Anolis sagrei: one gene and its partners. The protein of the gene in region 3 binds, or shares a complex with, the protein of the main gene of each other region. Links are inferred from orthologs where the notes say so. Each region holds a gene or a part of one and is shown on either strand. Other genes may lie near its edges.

Region 1 (4,960 bases), on a different chromosome or scaffold from region 3:
ATGGACCTCAACATTATATCAATATTTGTGCGTATATATATATATATACACACACACACACACACACAAAAAACAGATATTATGTGATTATATACACACACACACACACACAAAATATTTCCTGCCACCATCTCCTGAAAAGGACTTGGGGCAGCTTACACACCAACAAAAGTGCAATACAGAAGACATAAAATACAAGAAAGGTTTGCCCAACTCGATTGGTAACGTGTCATTTCCCAGTTGGTGTATCAGAAAAGCTGAGAAGTTCATGAAACTGCACTAAAGATGAAAAATGGCCTACTTTCACCTTTCTCCAGTTTTGAGAAGAAAGCCTACTTTCCCCCTTCTCGAGTTTCAAGACCAATTTTCCGCCTTCTCCAGCTCTGAAAGTGAGCCTACTTCTCCCCTTCTCCAGTTTTTAGAAGACCTGTTTTCCCCGTTCTTCAGCTCTGAAAGGCCTACTTTCCCCTGTCTCCAGTTTCGAGAAAGTGGCCTACTTTCCACCTTCTCCAGCTCTGAAAGTGGGCCTATTTTTTCCCTTCTTGCAAGGAGGAATTATAATTTTGCACAGCCCTAACACACGTGAAATTAATCCCTCAGTGGGTAGGCTTGGAGGAGAGGCCTCCTGCATTTGGGAGAGGGTTAGGTCAGATTTCCTCTGGGGCTCCTCAAACGTACACTGTCCCGGCCGCCTCGGCTCTTCAGCTCCTGGATCTCGAGCATCAGGCGCTGGAGGTCCTGGCAGGTGCGCTGGTAGAGGGCAAAATCCTTGCTGGGATCCCGCAGCTCCACCTCCGCCTCCTCACTCAAAGGCCGTCCCTCCTGTCAAAACAGAGAGGATGAGAGAGAGATCTAGTTCCCCAAACCCCCCCCCCCCCCCCCCGGTTCAGCTTTCCCAGGCATAGCCTGCCCTCACCCCATACCCACCTGGCTATGCTCGGCCTCTGCCCGGCTGCGCTTCCCTTCCGAAGCAACACCCTCTGTCCGGATGACCTTTGGCTTGCGCTTCTTCCCGGACTCCGAAGACATGCTCTTGCCTTTAAGAAAGACCAGACTATGCATTAAGGGTAAAGCATACAATATTATATATATTAGATCCTATCCAGTTTGTAAACGATCTGCTCTTTTTGGGCTTCACGCAAATCTACCCTTTGCCAATAATATATATATTGTATGCACACATATACACACACACATCTCTCCGTATATACATTTATATTAAATATAATGTATATATAATATCAGATGGATATGGATGGACAGAATAGAAGAAATTGTGGATAGATTGGTAGATGGATAGCTAGCTAGTAGGAAATGTGGATAGATTTGTGGATGGATGGATTGGTGGATGGATGAATACATAGACAGATAGAACAGATTGAATTGTGGAGAGATTGGTGGATGGATGGACAGCTAGAAGGAAATGTGGACAGATTAGTAGATGGATAGATTGGTGGATGGATGGATGGTTGGATAATACAGAATAATAGGAGGAAAATATGCATTAATAAAGAAAAATTCATAGGAATAAGAAGAAAATCTAGGAGCAAAATAATATATATATATATATATATATATAATCATTCTATATCATTATATTACAATATTATTATCATTATATAGTCTTATATATAAGGTAAAGGTTTGCCCTTGACATTAAGTCCAGTCGAGTCTGACTCTGGGGAGTAGTGCTCATCTCCATTTCAAAGCCAAAGAGCCAATGTTGTCCGTAGACACCACCTAGGTCATGTGGCCGGCGTGACTGCATGGAGTGCCATTACCTTCCTGCAGAAGTGGTACCTATTGATCTACTCAAATTTGCATATTTTTAAACTGCTAGGTTGGCAGAAGCTGGGGCTAACACTGAGAGTTCACCCTGCTCCCAGGATTTGAACCGCCAACCTTTCGGTCATCAAGTTCAGCAGCTCAGCAGTTTAACCTGCTGTGCCATCTGGGGCTCCTAATCTTATATATTTATTTCTTTGGATTTTTTTTTTTTTGGAGTGCTTCTACCCCGCCCTTCTCAACCCCCTAGGAGGGACTCAGGGCGGCTTACAAAAAAGCACAATTCGATGCCTAACAATTCACAAAATACAGTACAATATACAATATACAATACACAAATTTACCATATAATGTCAACAATTATAACTAATTAAGACAGTCAAACAATATACTAGCAGCAATAAAATCATCTTGTGGTCAATGTTCACCAATTCATAGTCCGTAATCCATCTAGCATCGTCATTATCCTTTCCTACTCTGTGTATAGATATATATATTCTAACATGTATGCATGTTATATATTAATATCTTCTCATTCTAACACAGAGGTCGAGATGATATCTGAACAATAATTATATTAGGTTCTTGTAGGTTTTTTCGGGCTACAGGGCCATGTTCTAGAGGCATTTCTCCTGACGTTTCGCCTGCATCTATGGCAAGCATCCTCACTACCTCTGAGGATGCTTGCCATAGATGCAGGCGAAACGTCAGAAGAAATGCCTCTAGAACATGGCCATATAGACCAAAAAAACCTACAAGAACCTAGTGATTCCAGCCATGAAAGCCTTTGACAATAATTATATTTATTTACTATATTTCTATACTGCCATTCTCAGCCCAAGGGCAACTCGTGGCAGTTTACAAAACGGCACAATTCGATGCCCACAACAGTACAAAGATAATTAAACATTAAAAACATTTAACATAGATAAAAAATTCATTACAAATAACATCAATAAAACATAATAAAAACAATATATTCTCTTGCATATATATATTTAAATAATATTAGACTATATATATATATAGAAAACAACACAAGTAGAAATCGGGTTTTTTTTAATGTGTTAAAAAGATAAACAATGCTATAGCAAAAAAGAGGGGGGAAATACCTGTGTTTTGTGAAGGAAAATATACAATAATAAGAAAATACAGAAAAGAATAAGAAACAATTAAAAGTATTATGTATTTTATATAAGCAGAGAAAAAATATATGTCTTTTATGAAGAGAAAATCTATAGAAATAAATGAGGCCTAAATAACAGGAAAATATGTATATAATCGAGGAAAAATACAACTAATCAGAAGGAAAAATGCAAGGAAATAAAAGACTAATAATCCTAATAAATGCAGTTTATTAAACCGCATGGAATTTAATTAAGAAAAACACATAAAAGATATACAGCAATAGATAGTGATAGCAGGGGAAAACACATGAGTTTTATGAAGGAACATACAGATAGAGAAAAAAGAGCAGGCATTTATTTCGAAGGAAAAAGGTCCAACAACGGGGAAATGAGAGAGAAACTCACCGCAACAGGCCTTCACTAGGACTCTCGACGCCGAGCGGAAGTGACGTCAGACGAGGGAGAAAGCAAGCTCGGCGAATGCACGGGCCGCCCCTCTACCGCCCCCGGTGGCGCCCAGGCGTCATTGCAGGCAAGGGTTGCTTTCAAGCCAGAAGGGTTTGGGAGAGATGATGATTTTTTCGTGTCAGGAGCGAACCAAAACAGTTGTATTGCATTAAAAACAAACAAAAAAACCCACAAAGTTTGCAGAGTTGGTATTCTACTAAATGTTCTTTGACCAGAAACTGGCCACTCGGAGTGCCTCTGGTGTTGCTGCAAGAAGGTCCTCCATTGTGCATGGGCTCAGGTTGCATTGGTGTAGTGGTCTGTGGTTTGCGCTTCTCCACACCTGCATGTTGTGGACTCCACTTTGTGGCCCCATTTCTTAAGGTTGGCTGCATCTCGTGGTGCCTGTTCAGCGCCTTCCAAGTCCTCTGTGTGCCCAGGGGGGAGTCTCTCATTTGGTATCAGCCATTGATTGAGGTTCTGGGTTTGAGCCTGCCACTTTTGGACTCTCGCTTGCTGAGGTGTTCCAGCGAATGTCTCTGTAGATCTTAGAAAAAAAAAATCTTGATTTAAGTCATTGATGTGCTGGCTGATGCCCAAACAAGGGATGAGCTGGAGATGTCACTGCCTTGGTCCTTCACTATTGGTTGCTACTTCTCCGTGGATGTCAGGTGGTGCAATGCTGGCTAAACAATGTAATTTCTCCAGTGGTGTAGGGCGCAGACACCCCGTGATAATGAGGCATGTCTCATTAAGAGCCACATCCACTGTTTTAATGTGGTGAGATGTGTTCCACACTGGGCATGCATACTCAGCAACAGAGTAGCAAAGCGCAAGGGCAGATGTCTTCACTGTATCTGGTTGTGATCCCCAGATTGTGCCAGTCAGCTTTCATATGATATTGTTTCTAGCGCCCACTTTTTGCTTGAAATTCAGGCAGTGCTTCTTGTAAGTCAAGCACGGTCCAGGGTAACTCCCAGGTATTTGGGTGTGCTGCAATGCTTCAGTGGGGTTCCTTCCCAGGTCATCCTCAGAGCTCGGGATGCTTGTCTGTTCTTAAGATTAAAAGTACATGTCTGTGTTTTAGATGGATTAGGAATCAGCTGGTTTTCCCTGTAATGGGCAGTAAGAGCACCTAGATCTTCGGAAAGTTTCTGTTCAACCATCTCAGAGCTCCCTGCTTGGGCAGTAATGGCACGATCATCAGCACAGATTAAACTCTCTGTCTTTTCTGGCAGTGGTTGATCATTTGTGTAAATGTTCAACATTGATGGAGCAAGCACGCTCCCCTGAGGAGGTGATGATCATGATCATCGAAAATTACTCACATCGAGGGCACAGAGATGCTAAATGGACAAACCATAATGTGCAATCAGCCTGTAGCCTATAAATATCTGGGCATACTTTATTGTTTATTCATTCAGTCACTTCCAACTCTTTGTGACCTCCTGGTCCAACCCAGGCCAGAGCTCCCTATTGGCTGTGGCCAGCCCCAGCTTCCAGGAAGGACTGGAGCCATTGTAAAACAATGCCCCCAAGCCCCATCCCAGCCAAGTGACCCAGAAGAATACCATTGTCAATAGTATTGAAGGCTGCTGAGA
Region 2 (4,960 bases), about 110 Mb from region 3:
AACAAAACATCACTTTAACTATCCTTTTACAAACTCTCTGACTTTCTGCCAAAATGTAGGTACCTCACCCAAAACTACAAATCCCAGGATTCCATAGCATTGAGCCATGCCTGTTAAGGTAGGATGGGTGGAGTTTGACACCACTTTATCTATCCTGGCTCGACACTATGGATTCATGGGACATGTAGTTTTACAAACTCTATAGCTCGGGCTTGGGTGAACTTGGGCCCTCCAGGTGTTTTGGACTTCAACTTCCAAAATTGTGGGAGTTGAAGTCAAAAAACACCTGGAGGGCCCAAGTTGGCCCAGGCCTGAGCTAGTGGGAGTTGAAGTCCAAAACACCTGGAGGGCCCAAGTTTGCCCAGGCCTGAACTAGCTTTCTGCCCAAGTGTAGGTGCCTCACCCAAAACCAAATCCCTGGATTCCATAGCATTGAGCCATACCTGTTAAGATAGAATGGGTGCAGTCTGTCACCACTTTATCTATCCTGGCTGGATGCTATGGATTCGCGGGAGCCGTAGTTCTACAAACTCTATAGCTCAGGCCTGGGTGAACTTGGGCCCACCAGGTGTTTTAGACTTCAACTTCCACAATTGTGGGAGATGAAGTCCAAAACACCTGGTGGGCCCAAGTTGGCTCAGGCTGGAGATAGCTTTCTGCCCAAGTGTAGGTGCCTCACCCAAAACTACAAATCCCAGGAGTCCATAGCATTGAGCCATGCCTGTAAAGGTAGGATGGGTGGAGTTTGACCCCACTTTATCCTGGCTGGATACTATGTATTCATGGGAGATGTAGTTTCACAAACTCTATAGCTCAGGCCTGTGTGAACTTGGGCCCACCAGGTGTTTTGGACTTCAAGTTCCACAATTGTGGGAGTTGAAATCCAAAACACCTGGAGGGCCCAAGTTCGCCCAGGCCTGCACTAGCTTCTGTCAGTGTGTAGGTGCCTCACCCAAATCTATAAATCCCAGGATCCCGTAGCACTGAAAAGTTTCCCGAGGCCTGGCGCCTTCTCTGGCTGGGGCCTCACCAAAAGTCCAACCTGCCTTCGAAGCGGTGTCAAACTGCGTTAATTCCCCAGCGTGGCCAAAAGGTCACCAAAGGGGAGAGGCAGGGATTTCTGGTGGTGGGTGAACGCTTCCCCCTGCCTGGCTCTCACCTGGAGCGGAGGAAGGGGCAGGCGGGCGGGGCGAGGCGGGCCTGCTTGCCGAGCCAAGCCTAGCGAGTCGCCCTCCCCTTGGAACCCGCGCCCGGCCTGCTTCAGGGCCCAGGCGCAGCAGCCCACGACGACGACGACGCCTCCTCCTCCCCCTCCATGGCCGCCGCCGCCGCTCCTGCTGCTCCTGCTGCTGCCGCCGCCGCTTACCCGGCTGCTCCTGCTACTGCCGCCGCCGCCGCTGCATTGTGGGAAGCCGCCTCACTCCCTCACTTCCTCACTCGCTCCCTCCTGCCTCCGCCGCGGCCTTCGCCATCGCCATGGGCGCCGTCACCGATGGTGAGAGACCCAGCGCCTCCAGAGCCGGCCAAGGAGGGGACAGCGGCCGCCGCGACCCTTCTTGCTCCCAGCCAGCGAGGCCTTCCCGGGCCCTCTCTTTCCTCCTTTCTTTCCTCCTTCCTTTCCCTCAGGCTCGAGTCCCTTCTGCCCTCATGGCCTTCGCCTCAGCAAGGCCTTCACATCCTTCCTCCTCTTCCAGGCCTCCTCTTCCCTCCTCCTCACTGAGGCCTTCGCTCTCTTCTTCCCCCTCCTGGGGTGGTTTTCACCTTTGGGAAGGAGTGTGGGGCGCCCTGAGGCCTCTTCCACACCTGAATGAATACAACCCCACGTTCTCTGCTTTGAACTGGGATAGATGGCACGGTGGACTCAGGCAACCCACACAGCCCTCTAGCCCAGAATATCAAGGCAGAAAGTCCCACAATATCTGCTTTGAACTGAGTTATCTGAGTCCACATTGCCATATATCCCAGTTCAAAGCAGAAAATGAGGGGTTTCATTCAGCTGTGTGGATTCAGATAACCTAATTCAACGCAGATATAGTGGGATTGTCTGCCTTGATATTCTGGGATATAGGGCTGTGTGGAAGGGCCCTCAGATAACCCAGTTCAAAGCAGATATTGTGGCAATGTGGACTCAGACAACCCACACAGCCCTATAGCCCAGAATATCAAGGCAGACAATCCCACAATATCTGCTTTGAACTGGGTTATCTGAGGGCCCTTCCACACAGCCCTATATCCCAGAATATCAAGGCAGACAATCCCACTATATCTGCGTTGAATTGGGTTATCTGAATCCACACAGGCCCCTTCCACACAGCTGAATGAAATCCCTCATTTTCTGCTTTGAACTGGGATATATGGCAATGTGGACTCAGATAACTCAGTTCAGAGCAGATATTGTGGGATTTTCTGCCTCAATATTCTGGATTATATGGCTGTGTGGGAAGGCCCTTAGATAATGTGGGATTTTCTGCCTTGATATTCAGGATTATATGGCTGTGTGGAAAGGCCCTTAGATAATGTGGGATTTTCTGCTTTGATATTCTGGCATTCAGGGCCTTGTGGAAGAGCCCCCAGAATATCAAGGCAGAAAATCCCACAGTCTCAGTTTTGAACTGGGTTATCTGGGGCCACTTCCACACAGCTGAATAAATTTTTTTTTGCATTTGGTCGTTTCCATATTCCCTGTATCATTCTCCTGTTTCACACTTCAAGTACTTTCCATGCAGCTGGATAAAATCCCACATTTTCTGCTTTGAACTGGAATATATAGCAGTGTGGACTCAGATAACCCAGTTCAGATATTGTGGGATTTTCTGCCTTGGTATTCTGGTTTATATGGCTATGTGGAAGGGCCCTTAGATTTGTCTTTCTCCACATAACAATGTTAATAATAATGGTAATAATAATCAATTTTACTTTAAAGTTAGATTCTGATTTCCTATTTGCATTAATTAAACAATGTATCTAAAAAGAAGGAAAATATCCTTATTTTGATAACAGTATGTATATATTTAAGGAAGATGTGAGGGACATTTGACTCTCCAAATATTTTGGATCACACAATCCACAGTCATTGGCCCATGTTGGATGGAAATAGAGAGGCCAAAACCTTTGGAAAGTGAATGGTTCCCCATCTGTGGTTGGAGGGCCCTTCCACACAGCCCTTTGTACTGCGATCTGATCCAAGATTCAGGTAATTTCCTTAGGTCCTGACTATGGGCTCTTCCACACTGTCCTATATCAGGGAATATCAAGCTAGGAAATCCCACATCTCAGTGTGGACTCAGATAACCCAGTCCAAAGCAGATATTGTGGGATTTTCTGCCTTGATATTCTGGGTTATAGGGCTGTGTGGAAGGGCCCTGTGTCTGTGATCACAACTCATAAACGAACATTATTAATTTTGAAATATTGTTTCTTCTTTAGATGAAGTTATTCGCAAGCGACTTTTGATTGATGGAGATGGTGCTGGTGATGACAGACGAATTAATTTGTTGGTGAAGAGTTTCATCAAGTGGTGCAATTCTGGATCCCAAGAAGAAGGGTATTTTTCTATCTTAGAATCATAGAATCATAGAATCAGAGAGTTGGAAGAGACCTCATGGGCCATCCAGTCCAACCCCCTGCCAAGAAGCAGGAATATTGCATTCAAATCACCCCTGACAGATGGCCATCCAGCCTCTGCTTAAAAGCCTCCAAAGAAGGAGCCTCCACCACACTCCGGGGCAGAGAGTTCCACTGCTGAACGGCTCTCACAGTCAGGAAGTTCTTCCTCATGTTCAGATGGAATCTCCTCTCTTGTAGTTTGAAGCCATTGTTCCGCGTCCTAGTCTCCAGGGAAGCAGAAAACAAGCTTGCTCCCTCCTCCCTGTGGCTTCCTCTCACATATTTATACATGGTAAAATCTTATCAATAAATGGAAACTAAGTGCAGCCCATCAAACGCCAGTACTCTGTAATATCTACTAATGTTAAAGGGGCATGGGGATTGTGTCCAATGACATTTAGTAGTGCATTTTGAATGTGAAGTTTTTTACTGGTAGAGTATATTTCAATGAACACAAAGAAAGACTCTTTTTCAGGAAAACAAATATTGAAATAGTGTAAAGGTTGTAATGAAATGTAAATGACTCTGAGCAAGTATCATACACTAGTTACTTAAGTATTTTGACATTTCCAAATGTACATTATTCCGCATTCTCTCTGGAATTATGAACCTTGATAATGTATTTTGCAGTTTACACTGACTGTAGATAGTCATGTCCTGTAAATAAAGTGGCAGAGACGTGTATGCAGATAGAGCCCTCGGTGCTTTAAAATAATAAAATAAACCCTTGTGTCAGCAGGACTGAAGACCAACAGGTTGGAGGTTCAAATCTGGGGAGAGCACAGATGAGCTCCCTCTTATCAGCTCTAGCCTCCCACAGGAATGATAAAACATCAAAACATCTGGGCCACATCCTTTCAGACGGCCAGTTCTCTCACACCAGAAGCGGCTTGCAGTTTCTCAAGTCGCTCCTGACATGAAAAAAAATGTATGCAGCTGCACTGGGAATCCTAGAACCAAACCCCCAAGGATCTGGAGGCTCATGGTACTGAATGATATGATACATATTGACCATGTAGCATAACCAAGAATACAGTAGCTTTAGGAGAAACAACAAGAAATCTTAATAGACAAAATCTCTTTTAGGAGTCTTTACGTGGAATCATTTTCAGTGGCATAAAACAATACTTGCTGCTATTTAGTTTTAAAAGTTTCTCTATAAAATTTCTTTTATTGTAGTACTATTGGCAGTCCCCAAGTTGACCTAGGATACCTATCATTGAATGTCCTTTTATAAGAATCGTATTAAAAGGCTCTGAAGACCAAGTGTTTCATCATCGCATTGCGAGTCTACAGCGTGAAAACATGCGTTAAACAGGAAAATATAGCATATTAATTTATTAACGCAATCTCT
Region 3 (4,960 bases):
ATGTTCTGTTCCTTCCTGGTTTGAAAGTGTTATTTCCTGTTTAATTGTGCGGTACCTACTTTGAAAATAGTTGTTATACTCCAGAAACTTCAATTTTGTTGCTTCCACAAACTATATCGAATTGGTTGAGACTATGAGATATTAATTGAAAAACTATAACGAACTGTGCTGTAGGATGCCCCACAAGAACAAAGTTTTTGTAGTTTATTTGTGGCAGAATAAATTAGAAAATGACATAACCCAGGAACAAAAATTGTGTTACGTAGTTTAATTACTTACTTATTACATAGTGTAATACATTTCAGGCTTAAAATAGGTGGCACTCCCAATTGTTTACATTATCAACCCCGCAAGGCATCTTATTACATCCTTTGCTGCTCTCATTTCCCTGCTGCTTGTCATCCGCTATAGTTTGGATTCGGAAATATATGCCTGTCTTGATTGGTAGGGGTGAATTTCAGAGGATGCCGCAGGTGGAGCAGCTTTGCTTTCAATCATTATACAGGCAGGACAATCTCAACTGAGGCAAACTATTTGAACATGGTATGCCAAAGTTCCAGGTCAAATTGCCAATACCTGCTGGATGATGGAGAAAGGCAGGGAGTTTCAGAAAAAACATCTTTTTCTATTTTATTGACTATTCTAAAGCCTTTGACTGTGTGGATCATAATAAATTGTGGCTAGTTCTTGGTGGTATGGGGATCCCAAGCCACCTTGTCTCTCCCCTGAGGAATCTGTACAAGGATCCAGTAGCAACAGTGAGAACTGACCATAGAACAACAGACTGGTTCAAGATTGGGTATAAGGCAGGGTTGTATACTCTCACCCAACCTATTCAACATGTATGTAGAAAACACATCATGCAATGTGCGGGGCTTGATGAATGCAAGGCTGGGGTAAAATTTGCTGGAAGAAATATTAACAACCTTAGATATTGAGATGATACCACTTTGATGGCCAAAAGTGAGAAGGAGCTGAGGAGCCTTCTAATCAAGGTGAAAGAAGAAAGTGCAAAAGCTGGGTTGCTGCTAAACATAAAAAAACCAAGATTATGGCAACCAGACTGATTGACAACTGGAAAATAGAGGGAGAAAACATGGAGGAAGTGACAGACTTTGTATTTCTAGGTGCAAAGATTACTGCAGATGCAGACTGCAGCCAGGAAATCAGAAGACGCTTACTTCTTGGGAGGAGAGCAATGTCCAGTCTTGATAAAATAGTAAAGAGTAGAGACATCACACTGGCAATGTAGATCCACATAGTTAAAGCAATGGTATTCCCTGTAGTCACCTACAGATGTGAGAGCTGGACCATAGGGAAGGCTGAGCGAAGGAAGATAGATGCTTTTGAACTGTGGTGCTGGAGTAAAAATCTGAGAGTGCCTTGGACAACAAGAAGGAGATTCCATCTGAACATGAGGAAGAACTTCCTGACTGTGAGAGCCATTCAGCAGTGGAACTCTCTGCCCTGGCGTATGGTGGAGGCTCCTCCTTTGGAGGTTTTTAAACAGGCTGGATGGCCATCTGTCAGGGGTGCTTTGAATGCAATATTCCTGCTTCTTGGCAGGGGGGTTGGACTGGATGGCCTATGAGGTCTCTTCCAACTCTATGGTTCTAAGAAGATCAAGCCAGTCCATACTTCAGGAAATAAAGCCCGATTGCTCATTGGAGGAAAGGATAGTAGAGGCCAAGATGAAGTACTTTGGCCACATCATGAGAAGACAGGAAAGCTTAGAGAAGACAATGATGCTGGGGGAAATGGAAAAGGAAGAGGGGCCGACCATGGGCAAGATGGATGCGTGGTACCCTTGAAGTGACTCGCTTGACTGTGAAGGAGTTGGGGGTGGTGACGGCTGACAGGGAGTTATGGCGTGGAATGGTCCATGAGGTCACGAAGAGTGGGAAGCAACTGAACGAATAAAAAACAACTACACTTGGTATGGCATGGCTGAAGGCTTTGGGGTCGTGGGATGTCTAGTGTGGTGAGGCGAGGCACCCACCCTCTTCGGCAGAGAAGGCTAAAGGCCCTGCCAAAGCACAACCCCCAAGGTGCCATAGCCTTGAGTCCTGTCAGTCCAGATGGTGCGGCACTGCCTCCTTTCTACACCGTGAGCGCGCCCTCGCTCCCCTCTCTCTGGGAGGAGGGCCTCCAGTTTGCCCTCCTTGGGCGCCTACCTGGCGTCTTCCGCGGGAGCGCCTCTCCCTCCAGGAAACGGGGCTCCGCAGCAGCAGCAGCCAGCGCCTCTCCCTCGCCCGGCAGGGAAGAGGGTTCCAGGAAGACAGCCGGCATCGCCTCCGCTTCCCACCCTCCCGCCAACCAGCCAGCCAATCGCTGACTCCTCCATCCTCCTTCCTCCCGTCCTATTGGCAGCTCCCCTTTACGACGTTTCGCCTCTCCGTTCGAGGAGCCAATGAGGAGAGGCGATGCTGCGAGGTGTGAGGCTCCAGTGAGAGCGCCGCCCTGATTGGGTGCCACGCGCAGGACGGGGAGGGGGCGCGTGGAGGACCTGGTGAGGAGAAGATGGCGGCGGCGGTGGTGGCAGAAACTGTGGAGCTCCACAAGTTGAAGGTAGCGCGAGGCCAGTCGCGCGGGGTCGGCATGTCGGTTATTTATTTATTTTTGAGGAGTCGAGGAAGCGGCGCGTGGCCTCCCCTTCTTGCCAGGCGCTTCGTGCTTTCTTTGGCTGGAGCGGCGTCTGCTTCTCCTCAGGGGGTGGGCTCGTGCCTCTCTCTCTCTCTCTCTCTCTCTCTCTCTCTCTCTCGTGAGGGCAGGATGGAGCTGCCTTGCAGGCCTTCCCTCTCTCACGGCGCCTCCCACTTTCCCACCTCCCGCTGAGGAAGGCCTTTCCCAGGTCAATTGGAGGAGGCCCCAAGGGCCGTCCTGTGCAACCCTTTTCTGCCATGCAGGGATACACAATCAAAGCACCCTCTTATACAGGCATGGGCAAACTCCGGCTCTCCAGGTGCTTTGGACTTCAACTCCCACAATTCCTAACAGCCAAACCCAACCGGCTGTAAGGAGTCTCCGCCACACTCTAAGGGAGCAGTCTGTCCCCTGTCGAACAGCACTTGCCCTCAGGAAGTTTTTCCTCACGTTGAAAGGGCATTTTCTATCCTGCAGTTTGAATCCATTTCTCCATTGGGCCCTAGCTTCCAGGCCAGAAGAAAACAAGCTCGCCCCTTCTCAATGTAGCATCATTTCGGATAAGCATGGCTGTTTGATGGCCAAAAGCGAGGAGAAGCTGAGGAGTCTTCTAACCAAGGTGAAAGAAGAAAGTGCAAAAGCTGGGTTGCAGCTAAACATTAAAAACCCAAGATTATGGCAACCAGACTGATTGATAAATGGCAAATAGAGAGAGAAAACGTGGAGGCAGTGACAGACTTTGTATTTCTAGGTGCAAAGATTACTGCAGATGCAGACTGCAGCCAGGAAATCAGGAGACTTTACTTCTTGGGAGGAGAGCAATGGCCAATCTCGTTAAAATAGTTAAGACAGCACATTGGCAACGAAGATCTGCATAGTTAAAGCAATGGTATTCCCCTTGCAACCTATGGATGTGAAAGGTGGACCATAAAGAAGGAAGAACTGTGGTGCTGGAGGAAAATTCGGATAATTCCTTGGACTGCAAGAAGATCCAACCTGTCCATACTTTAGGGAAAAAAGCCTGACTGCTCACTGGAGGGAAGGATATTAGAGGCAAAGATGAAGTACTGTGGCCACATAATGAGGACATGAAACCATGGAGAAGATAATGATGCTGGGGAAAATGGAAAGAAAAAGGAAGAGAGGTTGACCAAGGGCAATGGTATCCTTGAAGTGACTGGCTTAACTTTGAAGGAGCTGGGGATGGCCACGGCTAACAGGGAGCTCTGGCGTGGGCTGGTCCATGAGGTCTGGTGGTCCCTATGTAGACTTGTCCACAGCTGCATGGTAACGTAGCATTTGTTGGATTTTCTTGGTGGGTTTGTAGATTGTTTGCATGTTGTGTTTCCTCATCAGCTTCCCTATGCGGTCAGTGGTTCCCTTGATGTATGGCAGGGACACTTTTCCTCTGGGTGAAGCTGATGAGGAAACACAACATACAAACAATCTACAAACCCACCAAGAAAATCCAACAAATGCTACGTTCAGCAAAGGACAAGAGGGATCCTCTCACCTCTGCAGGAGTCTACCGTATACCATGCAGCTGTGGACAAGTCTACATAGGGACCACCAAACGCAGCGCCCAGACACGCATCAAGGAACATGAAAGGCACTGCAGACTACTTCAACCAGAGAAGTCAGCCATAGCAGAGCACCTGATGAACCAGCCTGGACACAGCATATTATTTGAGAACACAGAAATGCTGGACCACACCAACCACCACCATGTCAGACTACACAGAGAAACCATTGAAATCCACAAGCATGTGGACAATTTCAACAGAAAGGAAGAGACCATGAAAACGAACAAAATCTGGCTACCAGTATTAAAAAACTCTAAAATTACAACAGCAAAACAACAGAGAGGAAACAACCAGGCACAGATTAACACCTCCCAGCAAGAGATTTTCCCAGGCTCAGGCAGGCCTTCAAATGCTAATGAAGGTGATCAGGTGAAACATTCACACCTAACTGCAGCAGGGAAGCGCTCCTTGCCCCACCCCAGCCATTCCACAGATATATAAACCCATTGTCCTAATTCCAACAGACCTCACTACCTCTGAGGATGCTTGCCATAGATGCAGGTGAAACGTCAGGAGAAATGCCTCTAGAACATGGCTCTATAGCCCGAAAAAACCCACAAGAACCTAGTGATTCCAGCCATGAAAGCCTTCGACAATACATTGAAATTGTAAATCGCTTCTGGTGTGAGAGAATTGGCCGTCTGCAAGGATGTTGCTCAGGGGACACCCAGATGTTCTACCAGCCTGTGGGAGCCTTCTCTCATGTCCCTGCATTAGAAGCTGGAGCTGACAAA

The links.
Region 1: SARNP (region 3) and THOC5 share a complex: the UniProt entries of both Homo sapiens proteins name them as parts of the transcription/export (TREX) complex. The link is inferred for Anolis sagrei from reciprocal best matches to the Homo sapiens genes SARNP and THOC5.
Region 2: SARNP (region 3) and THOC7 share a complex: the UniProt entries of both Homo sapiens proteins name them as parts of the transcription/export (TREX) complex. The link is inferred for Anolis sagrei from reciprocal best matches to the Homo sapiens genes SARNP and THOC7.

The regions. Positions count from the first base shown.
Region 1 is NC_090034.1:48,713,641-48,718,600, forward strand, and holds the start of THOC5 (THO complex subunit 5 homolog), read right to left. Parts: upstream 3,381-4,960; 5' UTR 3,318-3,380; intron 1,038-3,317; 5' UTR 1,030-1,037; coding exon 928-1,029; intron 823-927; coding exon 679-822; intron 1-678. UniProt on the Homo sapiens protein: Component of the THO subcomplex of the TREX complex which is thought to couple mRNA transcription, processing and nuclear export, and which specifically associates with spliced mRNA and not with unspliced pre-mRNA.
Region 2 is NC_090022.1:33,440,920-33,445,879, reverse strand, and holds the start of THOC7 (THO complex subunit 7 homolog), read left to right. Parts: upstream 1-1,411; 5' UTR 1,412-1,476; coding exon 1,477-1,495; intron 1,496-3,426; coding exon 3,427-3,544; intron 3,545-4,960. UniProt on the Homo sapiens protein: Component of the THO subcomplex of the TREX complex which is thought to couple mRNA transcription, processing and nuclear export, and which specifically associates with spliced mRNA and not with unspliced pre-mRNA.
Region 3 is NC_090022.1:146,094,236-146,099,195, forward strand, and holds the start of SARNP (SAP domain-containing ribonucleoprotein), read left to right. Parts: upstream 1-2,459; 5' UTR 2,460-2,520; coding exon 2,521-2,568; intron 2,569-4,960. UniProt on the Homo sapiens protein: Binds both single-stranded and double-stranded DNA with higher affinity for the single-stranded form. Specifically binds to scaffold/matrix attachment region DNA. Also binds single-stranded RNA. Enhances RNA unwinding activity of DDX39A.